Caenorhabditis elegans: one gene and its partners. Each later gene encodes a partner of the first gene's protein in a complex. Each region holds a gene or a part of one and is shown in the gene's direction. Other genes may lie near its edges. The genes, in order: dpl-1, lin-9, lin-54 and lin-35.

The links.
Region 2: dpl-1 (region 1) and lin-9 share a complex: the UniProt entries of both Caenorhabditis elegans proteins name them as parts of the DRM complex.
Region 3: dpl-1 (region 1) and lin-54 share a complex: the UniProt entries of both Caenorhabditis elegans proteins name them as parts of the DRM complex.
Region 4: dpl-1 (region 1) and lin-35 share a complex: the UniProt entries of both Caenorhabditis elegans proteins name them as parts of the DRM complex.

The regions. Positions count from the first base shown.
Region 1 is NC_003280.10:9,167,967-9,173,120, forward strand, and holds dpl-1 (Transcription factor dpl-1), read left to right. Parts: upstream 1-1,943; 5' UTR 1,944-1,990; coding exon 1,991-1,999; intron 2,000-2,045; coding exon 2,046-2,381; intron 2,382-2,429; coding exon 2,430-2,695; intron 2,696-2,738; coding exon 2,739-2,807; intron 2,808-2,856; coding exon 2,857-2,954; intron 2,955-2,997; coding exon 2,998-3,111; intron 3,112-3,158; coding exon 3,159-3,353; intron 3,354-3,397; coding exon 3,398-3,582; intron 3,583-3,628; coding exon 3,629-3,790; intron 3,791-3,838; coding exon 3,839-4,097; intron 4,098-4,141; coding exon 4,142-4,245; 3' UTR 4,246-4,599; downstream 4,600-5,154. Other genes in the region: T23G7.2 (Calcineurin-like phosphoesterase domain-containing protein), read right to left, coding at 76-481, 537-656, 703-987, 1,040-1,128, 1,179-1,283, 1,334-1,426, 4,615-4,716, 4,768-4,833 and 1 more. UniProt on the Caenorhabditis elegans protein: Synthetic multivulva class B (synMuvB) protein. SynMuvB proteins are required to repress the induction of vulval development by Ras signaling and probably act by forming the multiprotein DRM complex that represses transcription.
Region 2 is NC_003281.10:8,899,649-8,905,638, reverse strand, and holds lin-9 (Protein lin-9), read left to right. Parts: upstream 1-1,507; 5' UTR 1,508-1,513; coding exon 1,514-1,570; intron 1,571-1,679; coding exon 1,680-1,798; intron 1,799-1,847; coding exon 1,848-1,980; intron 1,981-2,020; coding exon 2,021-2,623; intron 2,624-2,667; coding exon 2,668-2,826; intron 2,827-3,301; coding exon 3,302-3,712; intron 3,713-3,790; coding exon 3,791-3,895; intron 3,896-3,941; coding exon 3,942-4,091; intron 4,092-4,846; coding exon 4,847-5,044; 3' UTR 5,045-5,401; downstream 5,402-5,990. Other genes in the region: unc-32 (V-type proton ATPase 116 kDa subunit a 1), read right to left, coding at 1-11. UniProt on the Caenorhabditis elegans protein: Synthetic multivulva class B (synMuvB) protein. SynMuvB proteins are required to repress the induction of vulval development by Ras signaling and probably act by forming the multiprotein DRM complex that represses transcription.
Region 3 is NC_003282.8:13,239,302-13,243,920, forward strand, and holds lin-54 (Protein lin-54), read left to right. Parts: upstream 1-1,749; 5' UTR 1,750-1,766; coding exon 1,767-1,892; intron 1,893-1,934; coding exon 1,935-2,090; intron 2,091-2,141; coding exon 2,142-2,250; intron 2,251-2,296; coding exon 2,297-2,402; intron 2,403-2,452; coding exon 2,453-2,840; intron 2,841-3,381; coding exon 3,382-3,627; intron 3,628-3,681; coding exon 3,682-3,858; 3' UTR 3,859-4,100; downstream 4,101-4,619. Other genes in the region: tag-115 (SAC3/GANP/THP3 conserved domain-containing protein), read right to left, coding at 1-111; rpl-12 (Large ribosomal subunit protein uL11), read right to left, coding at 378-475, 525-632, 843-1,097, 1,223-1,259; JC8.4 (CMP/dCMP-type deaminase domain-containing protein), read left to right, coding at 4,374-4,619. UniProt on the Caenorhabditis elegans protein: Synthetic multivulva class B (synMuvB) protein. SynMuvB proteins are required to repress the induction of vulval development by Ras signaling and probably act by forming the multiprotein DRM complex that repress transcription.
Region 4 is NC_003279.8:5,806,051-5,810,797, forward strand, and holds the start of lin-35 (Retinoblastoma-like protein homolog lin-35), read left to right. Parts: upstream 1-1,658; 5' UTR 1,659-1,679; coding exon 1,680-1,737; intron 1,738-1,989; coding exon 1,990-2,085; intron 2,086-2,370; exon of another isoform or gene 2,371-2,447; coding exon of another isoform or gene 2,448-2,588; intron 2,589-2,896; coding exon of another isoform or gene 2,897-3,128; intron 3,129-3,172; coding exon of another isoform or gene 3,173-3,347; intron 3,348-3,392; coding exon of another isoform or gene 3,393-3,486; intron 3,487-3,589; coding exon of another isoform or gene 3,590-3,769; intron 3,770-3,816; coding exon of another isoform or gene 3,817-3,945; exon of another isoform or gene 3,946-3,952; intron 3,953-4,747. Other genes in the region: vps-51 (Vacuolar protein sorting-associated protein 51 homolog), read right to left, coding at 1-162, 211-642, 702-863, 915-1,089, 1,133-1,191; C32F10.4 (uncharacterized protein), read right to left, coding at 2,448-2,588, 2,897-3,128, 3,173-3,347, 3,393-3,486, 3,590-3,769, 3,817-3,945. UniProt on the Caenorhabditis elegans protein: Key regulator of cell division which acts as a transcriptional repressor and negatively regulates cell cycle progression in its active unphosphorylated form, but allows cell cycle progression when phosphorylated.

The DNA.
Region 1 (5,154 bases):
AAATAAATTACAACGAAATCATACAGAAAATAGTCATCGAACCGTTTTAATGAGAATTTTACATTTTACAACACATTATTCTCCCAGTAATTCCAACACCCAAACTTCGCTCATTCCAATCATTTTCATGGGTGGTCCTTGATACAATGATCCTGCCATTACCATCAATTGACCTCCAAATGGAATCTCATAGAGTCCATAAAAGTATGGTAGAAGCCAATAAACTACTGGAATAACTACGTAGAATTGTCCTGCATGAGTGTGTCCAGATAAGACAATATCAATTTCTGATAATTCTTTCGGATGATCTACGATGAATTCTCGAATTGATGCCGGATTGTGTGCCATGACGATTTGAGAAGTATTTGATGGACATCGATGGATGGCTTTTGGTAGATCCATTTTAGTGTTCAAGATTCCAGATTTCGGACTTGAAATATCGTTTACTCCAGCCAAACAGACTCCTTTCAGCATTGTACTTCTGAAAAATATCACTGTTACTTCCAAGAAAAACTCAAAAACTTTGTAAAACTTACTCGTTTTCAAGAACATTAATACGGCCATTTTTGTAGAATCTTATCCATTCCTGAACGTCTCCATAATAATATTCATGATTGCCAGTTACGAAATAAGTAGGTGCGTGAGCAGGGAGTTGACTGAAAACAAAAATTGAAATTTTGTGAATCAAACTAATTCGCCTACAGAATTGGTCGAACTCTATCCTCGATTTCCGCAACAGGAGCATCTACCATATCTCCAACAATCAGAATAGCATCAACTGGATTTTCAAGCACTTTTTCGACAACTTGATTGATTTGTTCCGAATAAACACTTGCACCAGCGTGCAAATCAGAGATCACTGCCAATTTTAATCGATTTCCATCAGCAGTGAAGTTTTTTATTTTGATGGTCTTTTCTTTGACAACAATCCAATCGCGTGATATAAACATACTGACTGACAGAAGCAAGGTGATTATCATTGTGAATCTGAAAATAACATTTTTAATGATAAGTTCCGAAATGAGATGTTTTTTGTTACTTTATTTGAGATCTTCTTTTCCACATGAGATCGTTAAAATAAGGAACCTTTCCTATTATTTCCAAAATCGAAGCGGTGTAATGGAACATCTGAGAAAATTTTTTTAAAATAATTTAAATATTATTGAAATTAATATTACCTTCATTTTTCCAGCATAGAAATTAACAATCCCAAATCCACATACGAATGCAATCATGTTAGTCCATATTCCCGCGCAGATTGAGGTGAGATCGAAGAGAAGCCACTGAAATGCAAGAGACTCTTTTAACAGCAACACAATTTCTAAAAACAAACCTGGAGAAATGCTGGGGCATAATACATAAAATAAATCGCTTGTCCGAGAACTAGGAAAATAATAAGGCCATCCGAGCATCGTTTCCGGATTGTCTGAAATGAGAATAGGTCAGTTTTTGGTGAGAAGAAGATTTAATCGATTTGAAGAGAAAAATAGTTATGGTCTTTGAAATCGTAGCAGGAAAACAAAATAAATTTTTATTTAAAAGCAAATTCTTGTTTTGCTAACTTTTTCCAACAAGAATATTGCAATTTGTTGAAATTTCAGTGTCGAACGAAAAAAAAAGAAAATTTTGTTCAGCAACAACACTCCGCCTTGACACCTCTCGCGTTGTTTATCGTCATTGATGGGTCTCGCAACGCACGGCGCGTCTTCAAATTTGGGTTTTTTCTGTTTTCCTCCATCTTCCGAATATTATTGATTTCTCTCACGTATTGATCAAAAATTGTTCTGGTTAACGTTTGTATTGCAGCGTTCTTAAAAACCGATAAAATTTAGATTTAGAACAGAAAAGAATCAGTTTTTTACGATGGCAACAAAATATCATTCATTATTCTTATAATTAACACTTTTCGTAGCTTTTCTCGTAATCAAAGTCATCATTTACAGATCTAAGCAATCGAAAATCTTGATTCGTCCAGGCAGGTCCTGTAGAAATGAACCCGGTTTGTAAAATAAGAAATCGATATTATATTAAACTAACATTTGCAGACAAACTACGATCCCCGTATCGGCCAACCGGCACAAAGTCGACCACAAGTATCCCTGAGTATGGGAAGACGAATTGTTCAAATGCCTACAGGTCTTCCTCGTTCATACCAAGATGAGAGTCACAATGAACCTGTGGGCTGGGATGAACCTTCGGGAGTTGGAGGATCTAGTGGAGCAGGAGGTCAACAATCTGACAAACCAACCGGACTCAGACATTTTTCCACGAAAGTTTGTGAAAAGGTGAAAGAAAAAGGATTGACGAATTACAATGAAGTGGCTGATGAACTGGTAGCAGATTACTTTCAAAATAATCTTATCAAGCAGATTGATGTTGTGGTAAGAAGTTTGTTTTTCTTCTTTTGAAAAAAAACTTTTTTTTTCTAGAAACAAGAATACGATATGAAAAATATTCGGAGGAGAGTATACGATGCGTTGAACGTTCTTTTGGCAATGAATATCATCACAAAAAGCAAGAAAGATATCAGATGGATTGGACTTCCTGCTTCAGCTTCACAAGAAATTTCGAGATTGGAAGAAGAGAAATCGCGACGGGAAGCCAGCATAAGTTCCAAAAAGCAGGCTCTCGAAGAAATGGTATTGCAAATTGTTTCTTACAAAAATTTGGTCGAACGGAATAGAAAAAATGAGCAGTACGTTTGAGTGTTAAATATTTTAGAAAAGTTAAATTTTCAGCAAAAATGGTCGCCCAGAAAACGACACTGTACTTCATCTTCCGTTTTTAATAATTAATACTGATAAAGAGTAAGTTGAAATTCCAAAATTATAATAGTCTCAAATATCTATTTTTAAGAGCAAATGTGGAATGCAGTGTATCATCAGACAAATCCGAATTTCTGTTCTCGTTCGACAAGAAGTTTGAAATTCACGATGATTTCGAAATTTTAAAAAGTAAATTTAAATGCCAAAAACCGATAAGATCCACATTTTTCAGAGTTGAACCTTGCATGCAGTTTGGAGACTACAAATCCCACAGCGGAAGAAGTCAAAACTGCGAAAAGCTTTTTGCCAACCTTACACCAGCACTATGTCGACGAAATCATTGCCAGTAAGTATTTCTTTTTAAAAATCAATCATGGAAACCACAATTTTCAGACCGTAAAAAGGTTGAAGCAGAAAAAGAGGAAAAGAGAAAACAACAACAGTTGATTGCTGATCAAATGTCTATGAACCTCTCACAAGCCCAATACGTTGAGCCGACAAGCTCTTTGGCGCAAATGTCATATTCATCGCGATTCAACAGACAGCTTCAGGAGCATTTGATAAACGATGGAAGTGAGGACAGAAGTGGTAAAAAAGTTTTTTAAAAACATTAAAAAAATTGTTTTTTCTAGCTGCTGCCGGTATAATGGAACGCGATTATGATATGGATAAGAATGTTAATCAGGGATCAGCCAGCCGAGGGCCAATGTATAATACTTATAGTCCACAAAAGATTCGAGCTCAAGTTAACACGCCTCTTCAAGTACCACCCGTTACCAAACGATATTACGTACAGAAGACACAAGGACCAATGAAGGTTTGTTCAAAATGAAGATTTTTCAGTACAACTAAAACATTTTCAGCATGATATGACTCCCGTCGTTCGAACTGTCAATCGGCCGTACTCTACTGTACCTCCAGATCGCAGGCTCTCAACTGGAGCTACTTCTGTGAATTCAGGACCTGTAAAATACTACGTGCCACAAGGACATCAACCGATGCATCAGCCAGTTGGTCAGAGATATGTAAGTTCGTTTTAAAGATTTCACAAACTGATTTTTCTTATTTTTCAGAGAGTTCGTCCACAGCAACCACAAATGAGTCATATGGGTCAGCCACATCAAGTGCAACAGAGAGTTGTCTATCCTGCTGGAAGCATTTCTGGACATCAGTTACAACCTGGACAACGAATCGTAACTCAGCGAATTGTTGCTCCAGGTGGTCCACACCCGCCGGGCACAATTGTTCGGAAAGTGATTCGTAAAATTGTTGTCAACAATCCAAAGCAATCTCCAGCTCAACAAGTTATACAAAAGAAAATGATGGAGCAAGGTAATTTAAATTTGCCTTAAATAATTTAAATAATTTAATTTCAGATATGTGCACATTTGAACGCAAAACGGAACAGCCGATGACTTCTGCGCAGGCCGCTGCTCTCATTCAACACCCTCAACCGGAGGAATACGATTATTTCCAGTAAATGTTTAATGTAACTAGTTGTTATCCCCCTTTTCCCAGTTTTTAAAGGTTCTCAAACGATTCTCATCTGCTTTTAAAATAGTTTCTATACGAGTTTCAATTTTATTTCTAGACTCCTTTAAAATCCCCTCTTCTTTAATCTTTAAAATAGTATAGTCTTCTTCGTCGATTCTATTCCGACATTTGCCAGATTAGAATTGACGACAGATTTCATAATCTACCTTTTACATTATTATTTTGTGTTCAATTTGACATTTTGAAATATGCTTCTTATATGCCCCGACTTTGACAGCATTATATGTAACTCAATGCTCCCGATTTTACCATCATTTTTTATGAAAGAATGATAGATTATAATTTTTAGTTTTACCTGCATTTTTCGGCGATCCAACGATTTCTCCTTGACAATGTCATCGTCGAACCATCTCATCAGCTGGCCGTATGCAAACACATTTAACAGAGTTAAAATGCACTTTAATTGGATTAAATTAATTAGATTTTTTAATTAGAAGAAGCAACTCACTTCAATGCGGAACACGGCAATGACTCGACGGCGGTTACCAACTAAATATCCTTCCACTGATTCAATCTGGAATATGATATCTTATAGAAAAAACTGGGCTTATGTAAATCAACTCACCCAAAATCTTGAGCAATACGTGAGCAGAATCCAGGAGATAACCGAGCCAAAAACGAGAAATCGCTCGAAACTCATCTGAAATTGAAACTGCGAAGACATACTCACTCGAGATCTTTTTTCTGATCGCTTTTCCTGTTTAGCATAGAATTGTCAATGTTCTCTCTCAGTTTATCGCCCAAACTCATCTCCTTACATCCGATTTCTATCGGGAGAAGGAGAAAATTTAGAGAATGACCATTTCAAAAGTACGTGGAAGCGACTGGATTATCG
Region 2 (5,990 bases), on another chromosome or scaffold:
TAATCACCCATTCTAGTTGATTCTGTAAGAATTTCCATGAAATAATATGAAGATTTCAAAAATAAGAAGGAAAAAAAAATCAAAAACGCTTCTTTCGAGAGAAAACATTTAAGAAAAGCACGAGGCTAGGAGCGAAGGCCTCAGGACCGAAGACCAGATATTGACGGAGAGGGATCGATACGGAGCAGCACTGAGCAAGAAGAGAGCATGCGCTCAAACGTGCTCCATTGGAATATCATGAAAAAAGGGAGAGAAATCTAGAAAAAACTAAAGAAACAATTTGCGCAATCTAATCGATCAGCCGACACGTCATCGACATTAGAGCGTAATTCTCCAGGATCTAATAGCTAGACGCAGAGAAATAAACTTTCAGATGGCGAATAAGAAAACCTAAAGGAGATGAGGAAGAAATGAACAGGACAGGTTTTAAAAGAAAGAAAATGTCTGATTGTCTGCCTCATTCACCGCAATGTTTGAACACTGAAACCATTTGTAAGCAGTGTTATAGGATGGAGAAACGTAAACATTGGGCGACTCACATTTCGTGGATATTATGAAATTCAATCGATTCGATCAAAAGGTTGAGAGAAATGAAATAATTGTAGAGCAGTGGGGGAGATTGAGTGGTGATAACGCGAAAAAACGATAAGATTACGCTGCGAGAGGTCAACTTTGCACAAAAACTTCAATTTTGATGCGGAAATTGTATTAAATTTAAGAGAATTGTTTCTTTGCAAAAAGATTTTATAAATAGTGTTTCAAAGTAACATCAAACCATAGAATCCAGATCCAGAACGAAAAACGCTGACTAAAAACACTAAAGAAGAATATTGCTTTGAAGAAAAAACCTGTGAGATGTTTTCGGAACAAAGATGAGTGATTGAAGACGAAATATTTTTAATGAAAAGTTTATTCTACAATTTTAAAACTTTGCGGCCAAAATAAATTTTGGTAAACACTTAGTAGGAATGAACAATTTTATAATGTTTCTTGCCAATAAGGAGAGAAATGAATCATGAGAATGGAAAGAGAAGAACAATATAAACAAAATAATTCGTTTTAAATGCGGAAAGGAAGAAAAAAACATGTTTCACCGCATGATCTTGTGTAAAACCATGTTTAAAATTTAATGATAACCCAGGAAAGATGGAAAATCAATACAAATAAGAAATAAAACAAATAAAAAAAAAAAAAAAACTTTCACGAGAAAATCCAAAAACGGAATGTCACGACGTTCGACTGTCAAACAGCAGCTCTCCCTTTTTTCCGTTTCCCACCACATTCACTTCTCTCAGCTGTGTTCTGTTTTCCAACAGACAGCGCTCCACCGTACCTCGCTACACTGCCGCAGGGCAATCGCGTCGAGACCATCACGCTGTTTGAAATCGGCTGTTGGTTGGGGAAAAGAACCGCCATTTCAAAGTTTTTTTCGCGCGCGCGCGTCCGCATTCTTTCATTGATTTTTGTCTCGTGGTCTGAAATTATTCAAAAATTTGTTATTTTTCAGATAAAAATGTCGTCTGCGGTGAGAAGTCCGCGGAAAAAGGCAGCAAGTGACACGTCTGATCCTGTAAGTTATTGGAAATATTGATTTTATTGGGTTTTCGTGTTTTTAAAAATAAAGAAGTTGTAAATTAAAGAAAGATATTGAAAGTATGCATGACATTCGGTATTTTCAGGATCGCACCAGCTCACCATACAGTCTCCGTGAAACATCTAAAGTTCCATCGAGATATCGTAATGAAGAACTATACCTATCACCGTCTCGCAGTATCAAACGTACCGGATCTCCCAAAAAGTAACAAGCTGTTCCGAAAAAGTGGCCGACTAATCTTATGATTTTACAGATCTCCCGCGAAACGCCTGAATGGAGGTAGAGATTCTCCTTCAGTGAACTCATTGACCCGAAACTCAAGTCTAACAATGCTCGCAAAGGCAGCTCTTGATTATGAATCTTCCAGTTGTGCTTTGGAATATATTGTAAGTTTTAAAACAATTGTATTGTTGTCATGTCTCCAAGTTCCAGCCAAAAGAAGAACGACGCCCTCCACGCAGAGCTCTTGCTCTGTCTCCGCCTCCAGCACCAAGTAATGATCTTCTCGCAAAGGATCTGGAGATGATTGAGATGCATCAAAACCTTGTAGCAGGTCTTGATGATTTAGATAATCCTGCGAATATGACAAATGAAGCTGTAGAACATCGAGATACACAGTCATTCTTCAACATGTTCAGTACAGATCAAGAACGAAGTGCCATGATGAAACAATTCAAAACGTATAAAAATCAAACAAGTGAAGATGTGAGCACATTTATGAGAGCTAATATAAAGAAACTCTACAATTTGCTCCGATATAAGAAAGCTCGTCAATGGGTCATGTGCGAGTTCTTCTATTCTGCAATCGACGAACAAATTTTCAAAGAAGAAAACGAGTTTGCCACAATTATCCGCGAATCTTTCCCAAATCTGAAAAATTGGAATTTAACGCGTATTGAGTGGCGGTCGATTCGAAAACTTCTCGGAAAGCCACGTAGATGCTCGAAAGTGTTTTTTGAAGAAGAAAGAATGTACCTGGAAGAGAAAAGAATGAAGATTCGAAGTGTCTATGAAGGAAGTTATCTTAACGTAAGGCTGAAGAGGTGTATCATTTTCAATAAATGTTCTTTCAGGATCCATCGATTGATCTAAAAGATCTTCCAGCCAAGCTTCCACGTCCAATGGTGGTTGGAAATCGTGTATTTGCGAGAATTCGAAATCCCTACGATGGAATTTATTCTGGAATTATTGATGCTGTCATTCCGAAAGGATTCAGAATTATTTTTGACAAGGTTTGTAAAAGGAGACTCAATATCACCCAAAACGCCCGAATTTTGTAACGAGATGTCTTAAAATTTCGCCACAAACCTATTTTCAGCTAAATTCGTGAACTTCGCCAACTTGTCCATTTTGTACATGCTGGAATGCAATTCTTATTGCATTTTCAACAGTTATTGCATATTTTAGTGGTTTATTTCGCTTTAATTCTATGATTTAGGATCACTTTAAGTCGATAGACACCAAAAATATCAAAGTAGGATTCTTATCGACTTAAAATGTGCTCAAATCATCGAATTACTACCAAAATATGCAATAAAAAGTGTTAGGAGAAATTGACAAAATTTAATGATTTAGCTGAAAATAGGAAGTCTTTGGAAATTAAGACGTCCTATTACTATATTCGGTAGTTTTGGATCATAAATTATTTTGTTTTAGGGAAATTTGAATATTTGAAATTCTATAAATTCCAATGTTTTATTCTTTCAGCCAGATATCCCACCAACACTGGTTAGTGACACGGAAATACTTCTCGACGGAAAACTTGATTTGTTGAGTATCGCCTACTTCATTGAACAAGCCAACTCTAAGCTTCCATCAGGCGTTCGTCCATTTGTAGCAGCAGTTCGTGACTCATCACATCCACATCTTGTTCGTGACGTCCTGGTTTCTCGAAAAATCGAGAGAAGTGGTGGACCATTAATGGGACCGAACGACGAACGATTAAATGGAAAAAATGCAGAAATGGTTGGAAATTTCCCGCTGAAATTCCTTGTGAATCTTGTGAAACTGACGAAATTAATTGATATCAAAAAGGGATTGATACGACAATTGAACGAATTGAATGCGGATGCCGAGATACAAAATATGACGTCAGACAAATATTCGAAAGCTTTTCAGGTACATTTTTAATTAGAAATTTTTTTTGATATATGAAAAAGTCAACTAGATAGAATCTAAAAAACAATTTTTTTTCAGGAGAAATACGCCAAAACTATCATCGATCTGGAACATGTGAATCAGAATATAGATATCAATATGAATGGAATTCAAGATCACCATATGTATTTCTCTTCGAATGATGTAATTTTTCATTTCCTGATTCTTCGAAAGATCTATTTGTTTGCAGATTTCAACGTCAAATATGAAACCTGAAGCAGTTAGACAAATGTGCTCTCAACAAGCTGGAAGATTTGTAGAGCACTGTAATCAAGGATTAAATGTAGAGAATGTGCATGCGTTGACACTTATTCAATCATTGACAGCTGTCCTTTTACAGGTTTGTGGCACTATAGACTGCAGAATAATAATTTATTAATGAAAAAAAAAATTGAAAATGTAAAAATTCATTAGAAAATAAACTTCGGTTTTTACCAAATCCTCTTTCCTAATTTCATTATGGGACGATGCAAGTGAATTTCTCGTCATTTCTCGACACATTTTTTGCAATGCAAGTGTGCGGAGAAATGACGAGAAATGTCGTGAAATTCGCAATTTCTACGCGTTTCTCGACATATGAGATGTGTCCTCGCAGGGTGGTAAGACATTTCACCCTGTTAAAAGTGCGGTGAGTAGGCGGAGTTTCCTGCGGGGACACATGTTTCTGCGTATCTCACCGTTCATCATATGTCGAGAAATGCGGAGAAATTGCAAATTTCACGACATTTCTCGTCATTTCTCCGCGCACTTGCATTGCAAAAAATGTGTCGAGAAATTACGAGAAATTCACCACGTGTTTTCAGCTCGACCATTCGGTGTAATTTGTGCAAACACCGTCACGCGCTGCGGTGAAATTCCTCTTGGCGAATTCAAATATTTTTTCCCGCCTTTTTTGAAAATTTTCGAGGCGTTGGTCGAGCTGAATACACGTGTTCACTTGCATCGTCCCATTAGAATTAATTACAAATTACTATTTTACAAAAAAAAAACTAAAATTGTTTCCTAGAATTCAAAATTACCTGGTCATCGGTAAAACACTATTAAAAAATTTTTTTACTGCAGAAAAATATTAGAAAAAATATTATATTTTTCCAGGTTCGCACAATGGGAACTCAAAAGATCTCTGCAGTTGATCTTCAATCACTTGGTGACGCCATATCTGAAATTCGGACCGCTATTCACCCCCGCAACGTGGCATTCTTCCAAGACTACGTTGAAGTTCATATGAAACAATTTCACACAATTATGCTCGAAAGTGGAGCACTAGCTGGAACTGTATCGAACAGAAAATAACTAAAAGCGTCTCATTTTGTCCAAAAAAACGCCAACCGGTCCCGTCAGTTTTTGTTTTTCTGAATATTCTCAGTTCTCTCATCTCTGCTCTCTCTCTCTCCCCACCTTCTTCAATCACTTTGTGTCTTTTCAAAATTGTACCCGATCATGAGACACATCCCCATTTTTCTTATTTTTTAAAAGTAGTTCAACCTTGATAATTCGAATGTGCCAAAATTCTATTTTCTTCCTCATTGTCATCATCATCATCATCAGTTTTCGAGAAAAACGAGCCAAATAACGAAACCCTTGTCAGTTATACTCCACTATTTTTTATTTTACTGACTGTCTAGAAAATAAATAAAATTTTAAAGTTTCAGGTGAATTTTCATTTTATTATGTTTGCCAGCGGTGAGAAGATATTAGCCCGGACACAAAAGTGAGCGCTAAAAGTACGGTAACTGGTCACGACAAATGTCTGTTAAATACAAACGGATGTGCGCCTTCAAAGATTACTGTAGTTTTAAACTGTCTTTGCTGCGTAATTTTGATCAATTTTTATAGTGTGTTGCGCGCCTTGCTTCGTATTTGAATTCCATTCGCATTTTTTGCTGTTTTGCTGCTAATTTCTTTATTAAATTTATCACGAATGCGTTATTTCGGAGCTTCGTTGTTTCGTTTGAAAGTAAAAATAAAAATAGGAGGAATCGTGGCGAGACCCGCTCCCTACGAAATCTCATGTCCCTTTAACTTTTTGCGCCAAAAAACGAATTTCAATTTTTTTAAAAGTCATTTTTAGCTTTTTTTCTTAATTTTCTTATTTTTTAACAAAAATTTCACTGAAAACCGACAAAAATACATTTAAAACTGTTTAAAAAATTTGAAAAAATAGTTAAAATTTAAAAAATTTCTGTTAATCTTTTATGAAATTTTTGAATGTTTCAAGTACATTGATATCATTCTTATA
Region 3 (4,619 bases), on another chromosome or scaffold:
TGACCGGGGTCCTGAACTAGTCGATGCAGTAGCTTCTAATTGATCTATCAGATGATTCCGGCTTCGAAAATTTATTTCAGCGACTGGGCACATTGATTCACACGAGGCCATTTCTGAATGAAGCGAAAATATTTTAAAATAAAATAAACTGAAGAAAAAATTCATCAGAGCGCAGTTTCTCTCCACGCAAAAATCGATTTCGAAAAGCGACGAAGCACGAGTTCTTTTACCAGAAATAGATAACAAATGAATCCCAACACCAGTGTCTTTCGATACAAATTCTAAATTAGACGTCTTGCATGATTTATTGAGATATTTATCAAAATACACGCAGATAGTAACAAGAATTTATTGGAACAACAAAAACAAGTGACAGATCATTGAGCTGGGATCTCGATCTCTCCATTGGCGATCGACTCGATGATGTCGTGTGGGTGTTGTCCATCAATTGTGCATCCAACGGATTGGGCTGTTCCTGAAAAAATACAATATTTAGAAACAGTTTATCGTTTTCGAAATATTACCAAGGATCTCCTTGACGGTTCCTTCAAGTTTCTTGGCCATCGATCTTGGTCTCATGATTCTGGCGATCTTGATGATGGTGTCAACAGTGAGGTCTCCATTGTGCTTCACTGAAATGGAAACGTGCAAAACGTTAAACTAGATTGATTAAACAACCCGTTGGGACGAGACAACACCAAACCCAGGAAAAATCAAACTCACGGAGCATGAAAATCACTTAGGTTACTAGTCTTTAAGTCACAAACTTTTACAAACTTATGAAGTAAGAGACCAGGGGATGAGAGCATATCGACTCCCGACCCAACGCATTAAATGCGTACCGTTCTTGACCTTCTTGCGGTCACGTGGTGGCTCCTTGAGCTCCTTGACGATGAGGGAAGCAGCAGATGGGACAACGTCGATCTTGGCAACACGGTTCTGGATGGTCAATTTGCAGGTGACCTTAAGACCCTTCCAGTCTTGGGTGGCCTTGGCGATGTCTTCTCCGATCTTCTTTGGAGACAATCCAAGTGGTCCGACCTTTGGGGCAAGAGCGGAGGTGGCTCCGACTTCTCCTCCGACGCAACGGAGGTACACTGAAAAGTGAAAATGATGCAAAAGAGTTTTTCAAAAATCACGATGATGAAATCTTTGACAAATTGAAAATCACGCATAATACGTCAAATACCTAATTAAATGTGCACAAAAATGAGCAACTTACCGATCTTAATCTCAGTTGGGTCGAACTTTGGTGGCATGATGAGTGACGTCTACCAGGGATACCGGCGGTGACAAAAGTGAGAAAAAATTCGTCGCGAGGACTTGGCGCCGGCGAATTGACTCCGTATCACAATGGTTGTTGCGTCGCTACGCAGCGAATTGTCGATGTCAATTTTCAAACAACATTAACTGTGGAGCGCACTTGCATTATTTTTGTTTAATCAAATTTCGGCGCGCGAAACAATTTTTTAATCCTTTTTTTGGGTGTTTTTTAAATTTATTAATATTAAATCTTATTGAATTATTGATTTTCAAGAAATAAGTTACTAATTTAACATTTTTGAAAGTATTTAGACGGCGAAAAATGAAATTTTGGTTCAAAAAGGAACGTAAATAAGTTGTATTTCATCCTCAAAACGATGTTCTTTTTTTTTTGTTGGGAATTTTCTGGCAAGATAACTTAATTTCTTTTCGTTTAATCTCTTTCCAAATGCTAAAACATTGTTTTCCTGATTAGTTATTTTTCAGTATTTTCAGTGTTGACAATGAATCAAGGAGAAATCGTTTATCAAGACGACGATGATTATTACGACGAATCGGAGATATACGATAATTATGAAGAAGGTGCCGAATTTATCGAAGTTAATGGACAGCTTGTGCCTCATAATCCAGTAATTTGTTTTCAATTCGAAATAAAAATAAACTTTTCTCAGAACTTACAGGCGCAGCAAAATCGTCCGGGAACCTCGAGTATGATTCAACAGCATAATCGATCAATGGAAGTTAATCAGGGATTGGTCAAAGACGAACCAATTGATACATCATCGCATCGCGTCTACGTCCCCCCTCCGAGACCAGTTCAGCGAAAAGTAATTTTAAAAATTTTCGATTTTTTACGAATTGACTAACCTCTTTGGAAGCTTTTTCAGCCTGGGCCCAGCACTCCCGGATCGTCTCAGTACACTGTGCGGAATTTGTCCAATTTATCGGGTTCACCTTCAATGTACGATCGACAGCCCGCTTCATTACGTTCGTAAACTAGAGATCTTTTGTCCTAATAATTATTTTATTTAAGCTAGAACAGTGCAACCAATGGGCTTGGAGATGGGAAATTCTGAACAGCGAAAAGTTTACATCGATATGAAAGATCACGTTAGTCATATTAGATTGAAAACTAAAAAGTAAAGAACTCAAATTTTGTAACTTTTCACTAATTCCTCTATTTTTCAAGAAAAGTATTTGCACCTGGCCAGCGGAAACCATGCAATTGCACGAAATCTCAATGCCTCAAGCTCTACTGTGATTGTTTCGCCAATGGAGAGTTCTGTCGTGACTGCAATTGCAAGGATTGTCACAATAATATAGAATACGACAGTCAGCGTTCAAAAGCCATCCGTCAGTCACTTGAGCGAAATCCGAACGCTTTCAAGCCAAAAATTGGTATTGCTCGTGGAGGTATTACCGACATCGAACGTCTTCATCAGAAAGGATGTCACTGTAAAAAGAGTGGTTGTCTGAAAAACTATTGTGAGTGTTATGAAGCAAAGGTTCCGTGTACCGATCGATGCAAGTGCAAAGGATGTCAGAATACTGAAACATACAGAATGACAAGATACAAGGTGCAATTTCCTATAATTCAGTTTAAAAAATGGAGTAACGATTCTGGATTTTTCGAACGTATAGGCTAACAAATGTGCTCAAATTAACAAGTTTTGTTTGGCAGTTCAAAATTCCGAAAAAGGCTAATTTTGATCACTTTTCCGTGTCCCAGCGGTCGGAAGCTGACTTTTTTTGAATTATCATCTTTTATTGAATATTTTGGTATTTTATCTGACGTTATTTCATTGATTAAGGTACATTTAAAGCTGATCGGTAACCAATTTCGATCATTTTTGGTCACCTCTCGGCCTTAAATGTACTTTAATTGATGAAATTTTTAAAAAAACGTTAGATAAAATACCAAAATATGCAATAAAAGATGATAATTTTAAAAATGTCAATTTCCGACCGCTTCGACGCGGAAAAGTGGCCAAAATTGAATATTTTAGCTCAAATTTCACCTTTTTCAAATTTAAAAAAATCATATTTTGGATCTCTATACGTTCAAAATACCGCAATTCTTGCAATAAATTTAATTTCTTATTCAAATTTTAATTTCAGAACTCCGGTGGTGCCGTGTCCAATACGAATGCCCTGATGTCATTGACCAACGCTTCCAGCACAGCGACTCCAGATTCTGGTCCGGGAAGTGTGGTGACCGATGAGCATGGAGACGACTACGAGGATATGCTTCTTTCGCATAAACCGAAGGTCGAGATGGATCCTAGACGCTTCCCGTGGTACTATATGACCGATGAAGTCGTTGAGGCAGCCACTATGTGCATGGTTGCTCAAGCTGAAGAAGCTGTTAGTTGGAAAATCAATTGGTTTCCTATTGAATTTAATTTTTTTTCTTTGCAGTTAAACTACGAAAAAGTGCAAACCGAAGACGAAAAACTCATCAATATGGAGAAGCTTGTCCTTCGTGAATTCGGCCGCTGTCTCGAACAAATGATCACAAACACAACTGAGCTCACACAAGATCTTGATGCCGCTCCAACGGATGACATCCCAGGACCATCTACTAGTACTTCTTAACTATTCGCATTAAAATTATTATCAATTTTATCACAGTTGCGCGATCTTTTATGATCTCACCTCTCACACATTCTTTGCCTTCCTCCCCTCCTCTCAATGCTTTTACAGATTCACAAGTTGCCTTCTTTCAAAGTTGTCAAATAAAAAATGATCAGAAAAATTTGTTTCATTTTTACTAACTCACCTGCGTCTCTTCAATTTTAGAAATTATTGTGTTATATTTATGAAGTTTTGTGTCTTTTTTTTATTATTTGGCAGCATAGTTGCACATTTGTTCCCAGCAAAGTAATTATTTCGAGAAATGTTTGATTTTTTGATTCAGAAGTTTAAATTAAATTTTAATTGCGTATTGTGCGCCGAAACACGCTCCTATTTTAAACAAAGCTATTCAGGAGTGTTTCGGCGCACAATATGCATCGCTGGTCTGCGATTAAAATTAAAATTAATTTTTATTGTGCAAAAAATAATTAAAATGCGAATTAGTACACCTTTAAAACCTAGAAAATTTATTAGAAATGTCAGAAAACGAGCTGAGCGCCGAGGACACTGCATTTCTGGAAAAAGCCTTCGAATTGGCTCAAGAAGCTTTAGATGAAGATGAAGTTCCAGTTGGATGTGTATTTGTGGTCAATGGAACAGAAATTGGAAGAGGTCGGAATCGTGTGAACGAGACCGGTGATCCGACAAGGCATGCTGAGATGGTAGCAGTCACTGAAATGTGGAAAGAGCACGGAACGGGCTGCGAGGATCTGCTCAAAAAA
Region 4 (4,747 bases), on another chromosome or scaffold:
GATAGTTAATGGAAGAAAGTCAAGTCCAGGAATCACATAGCGGCAGGTTGAGATTTTTCGAAAATATCTATCAAGAGCCCGGACGACAATTGAACAGTCTTTTGCATCACTTGATGATAGAAAAACTTTTGAAACCAAAGCATGCAGAGAATTCATTTCCGTCTGTAAAAAAACTTTAATTTAATCCAAATCGTTTTTAAATTAACAAACCTTCAAAACCGTAATAAGATCTTCTCGTTTATCCTCAAATAATCGATCATGAGTTGTTGCAATCAGAGTGAGATTTGGAATAAAACTCTCAGAAGCTTTATCAACGAGATCCAAAACATCCGAATGATTTGCTGATAATTCTTTCAAATCTACTCTTAAAGATTGTTCTGAACACGTGAGCAACACTTTCTGAACTTCATCTTCATCTCTTCCAATTGTTAATAATAAATCTACAGCTTCTGATACTAATTCTGCACCAGAAGCCGGATTTCGCAGTTGATCCATTAATTGATTTTCCGTCATATCATAAATTTTCTTACTTTTTTGAAGAACTAATTGAACTGTTGGAACGTCTTTATACTGCGATAGTGACTCTTCTGCTAATTTGAACATTCGAAGAACTTCTCCATAGTTTCGCTCATCGAATTCACTCTGGAAGTTGTTTAGTTTGATGCAATATGAAAAAAAAGTTTTAAAATTAAAAATGTTACCCGCAGAACATGAGGAAGATCGAAAATATGCTTCAAACTATTCACAACTTTATACGAGCTTCCCAATTGTAGAATATCGTCACGTTTTTCGCCCAAAACTCCGTCAAGATTCCCAATTAGAGTCGATATTGTCGACATACTTCGGCTGAGAGATTTCATTTCCTGAAAATTAACATTAAAATTGTCTGATTTTATTATTATTCGAAAACTAACAGAATCGAGTTGCGTGAATTCATCTTGTATTTTTCGAACCGTATTTGTCGCAGTCAGAAATTTATTGTAATTTTCGTAGACTATTTGATGTACATCTGAATCAAGCCTTCTCACAGCTGAAACCATCTCCTCCTCTTCTTTTACTAATCCATCAAGCGACTTTTCACGGAGTAATCTGAATTAATAATATTTATCAGTGCATATCTCTGAAAACTAACTTGACGACAAATGCTTCGACATCAAAATCCGGCTTTGTGACGTCCAAAACACTAGACATTTTACATTCAATACTGAAAAATTAAAGAAAATTCAGGAAAACTCGAGAATGAAAAAAAACAGATTTGAGACACCATCAATACAAAGGGAACGAAATTTGGGGGAAATGCTGGTTGCCGAAAAAATAAGTAGAAGGTAAGATGTGTTCAACTGGAACATACATTTTCTGAATTGCAAACTCGATTTCTCTCACATTCACAATTTTTAATCACATTTAATGCTTCAGTTTTAGAAAGTTCTGAAGTATCCTCTTCTTCCTATTCAGTTTCTCAAAATCGATGGTGTCTCCAGGACGTGCACAAATGCGCTCTATTGCGAATTGTGGAACATCATTGCGCGCGCGACTAGAAAAAAATGAGCGCGTTCTTGAAAATTATTTTGCTTTCTCTAATTTTAAACGATTTCGATTACATTTTATCTGAACTTTCTTGGGTTTAATCGAATAAAAAACACAAAAATATTCTTCAGACTGGTAAAAACTTCTTCAATATGCCGAAACGAGCAGCCGATGAGCCTGGAACATCAACAACTGACCCATTTCACGAGCGTAAGCTTTAAATGATTTTATTCAAAGCGTATAATTATACTTGTCTGGAAAGTGAGGCGTTATCAAAGCTAGTTTCTCCGCCGCAGTGAATAGAAAAACTGATTAATGCAATTTGCGCAGGGTTCGATTTTTTCGAAATTTTTTAAACAGCGTTCAAGATTTTACTTGCCTTTCCATCAGGGAGAGAAATTTTTTAGAACTCAGCCTCAAATTACCGCAAATAAATTTAGATATTAATTGATTTATTTTCAGAAAGCCCATTCGATGCCGTGTTAGCCGGCACGGAGACAACGGATACAATATGTGAAGAGCCACCAGCAAAACGAATCGACTTAGATATAAAGCAAGGTATGGGGTTTTATAAATATTAAATCTGATTATTTTCTCCTTTTCAAAAATATTAAACAAAAACAAGGGTTTGCAGCCTCATGTGATAATCTAAATGACTGCTTTGTTTTACATATTAAGAGCATCCTTCGTTTTTCCAATAATTTTCTCTATGAAGATAGATATTCCCCAGTTCATTATCACCTTTATCACAACTCGCTATCATCTCCTACTTATATAGGAAATTATGAAGTTATCAAGCGCTCAGTCACCTGACTAGTTAAGAGGTCACTAACAACAATAGCTACCAATCAAGCAACATTTTTATTATTGCACACAACCACGAGCAAATGTCAAAATATACATAGAAGACAGAGTGAAATCTATTGAAGAACGTCACTTCGGACTGTTATATGTCCTGGTTCAACCACGTCACTATATGCAGGCGGCCGAGAAGTTGCACGTGGTCGGGTTGGATCTTCATCATTTGTAAACGCCGAATTGTCAGCTCCTGTTGGTTCACTCTGAAATTGTTACAGAGTTTTAGTGATGTCATAGGGAAAGAATTTTAGAGCTCATTCTGGCTCGAATTTGCTGGAAATCGGAGGTTTCCCAATAATAACCATTTTTCTGATATTAGTATTACTTTTTCGACTACAAGCGCTCCGTAACAAAATTTAGCGGGTTATTTGAAGTTAATTATAATCGCATTAAGACGTATTTATCTAATGCAGCTTATAATATAGAAAGAATAGCTTAGTTTTATATTATTGATTAATGAATAGTCGTTGAAACGGATTTCATAAAGCTTCAAAAAATTTTCAAAACTCACATTGGCAACTGTCAAAATCGGTGTCGATACGAAAGAACCACTCCTCGTTGATGCCGACGTCGTCGAACTCTCGCTATCAACAGGTTGTTGTTTTGTAGGAATCGGAGGAGCAGTTTGACTTGACATTGGTGGGGCGTAGGCGGTATATCTTGGTGGTGGTGGCATACCACTGGGACTCATTGGTGTTGGTACAATGTATTGAACATTGTAATTTGACGCCTGATGTTGAGGTCTGAACCATTGAATGAATATTCATAATTGAAATAATGGACTCACAATCTGTATGCATTTCTTCTGAGGAAGTTGTAGAGAATCATCATATATCGCATTTGGACGAGTGCAACAATAATACTAACAGTTAGGAAGAAACATGAGATTATAACCATTTCTAATTCTCCAGTTGTCATTTTTGGAACACATCCCTTCGCAGTGGTTACATCCTTTTGGTTATCTTCAAATCAGTTTCTTTATTCCGGAAAATTGTATTGAAACTAACCTGGATTGCAAATGTTATCATTGTTATCCGATAAATAAATACATGCAATAACTGCTCCCAGGATCAAGAAAAACACCCAAAATGTGTACATTGACTGAAATTGATAATTATTTCTCAAAGTGTATATTAACGAGAATATTGATGCTTCCATAATTGACTAGGAACATCGAATCTTGTGAGTTATATTTAAAACGTACTAGATATAACATGTAAGCAGTGATATAGGCAATTTTTCTACGCTTTGCACCAGTTGATAGAACAAACATCATGGCGCTTCCAATAGAAATCTCGAAAACGTAGAGCACAAATGGAGATGGATACAAAAGTCCGAATATTTGACATATCATGAGAATGGATCCGAGAATTCCAACAGCTCCCTGAAAAATGTTCAATCCTTGCTGAGATTCAAAATTTCTGAACTTACACCAATTGGAAGTCCACAAAATACCCTTGGCTCCGGTTCAGCAGCTATCCGCTGTGTTGGCTGATGTGGTTCAGCCCGTTGTTGCGGGTGCTGATACGGATCCGTCGTTTGAGAAGACTCGGTTGTCATGGTTCTTCTGGAATCAATACAATTTTCTTGGCTTATATGGTTTATAAATGCATTTGTGTGTGTCTGAGTGTGCCAACAAGAGACCTCTACGAGAGAAAAGAAAAGGAGAAGCAGAGTCGGGGAGGTGACATACGACTGATATGGTCGATGTCACGACAATATGATTCTCTTTTTCTCCCCCTTTCAATTCTTCATGTGTCGGTTGAGTAAATATTGCATGAAACTGTAGAAATGAGGGCATTGGGAGATAGAGAGAGGGACGTTGAAAATAGAGAAGAGCACTAGAATCAGCTGAGAGTATGTGGAGAAATAAAGAATGATAAGAACGTTGGAAGAAACTAGAACAATTTTGGCAGCTTAGTTTCGTCGTTACTTGATTTGTCACAATTAAATATGGATAAGTTGAGAATCAAGGATGCCAAAAAATATTTTTGACAAAAAAAAACAAAAAATTTCTTGTTCAAATTTCGTACCAAAAACAAAAAAAAATTGGATTTTATTTTTCTCGCGATTTAAAGTTAAAAATTTCGAAATTTTTTTTTGGTTTTTATGATATTTATACAATTGTATTTCTATAGAAATACCGAAAAAAAATTGGTGACTTATCGAATTTGTTTTAATTGGAAAAATATAATGGATTCAATTCGTTCTTTAAAAATTATTGGAAATTACTTTAAAATTGAAAAAATTGAAATTTTTTTCATTAATTTAAAAACTGACATCCTTGGGTCAATTCATTGCCATCTGGATAAATTTCCTTTAATATTGTAAATCATTGAGTGTTTCCAGTTGTGTAGGTCTC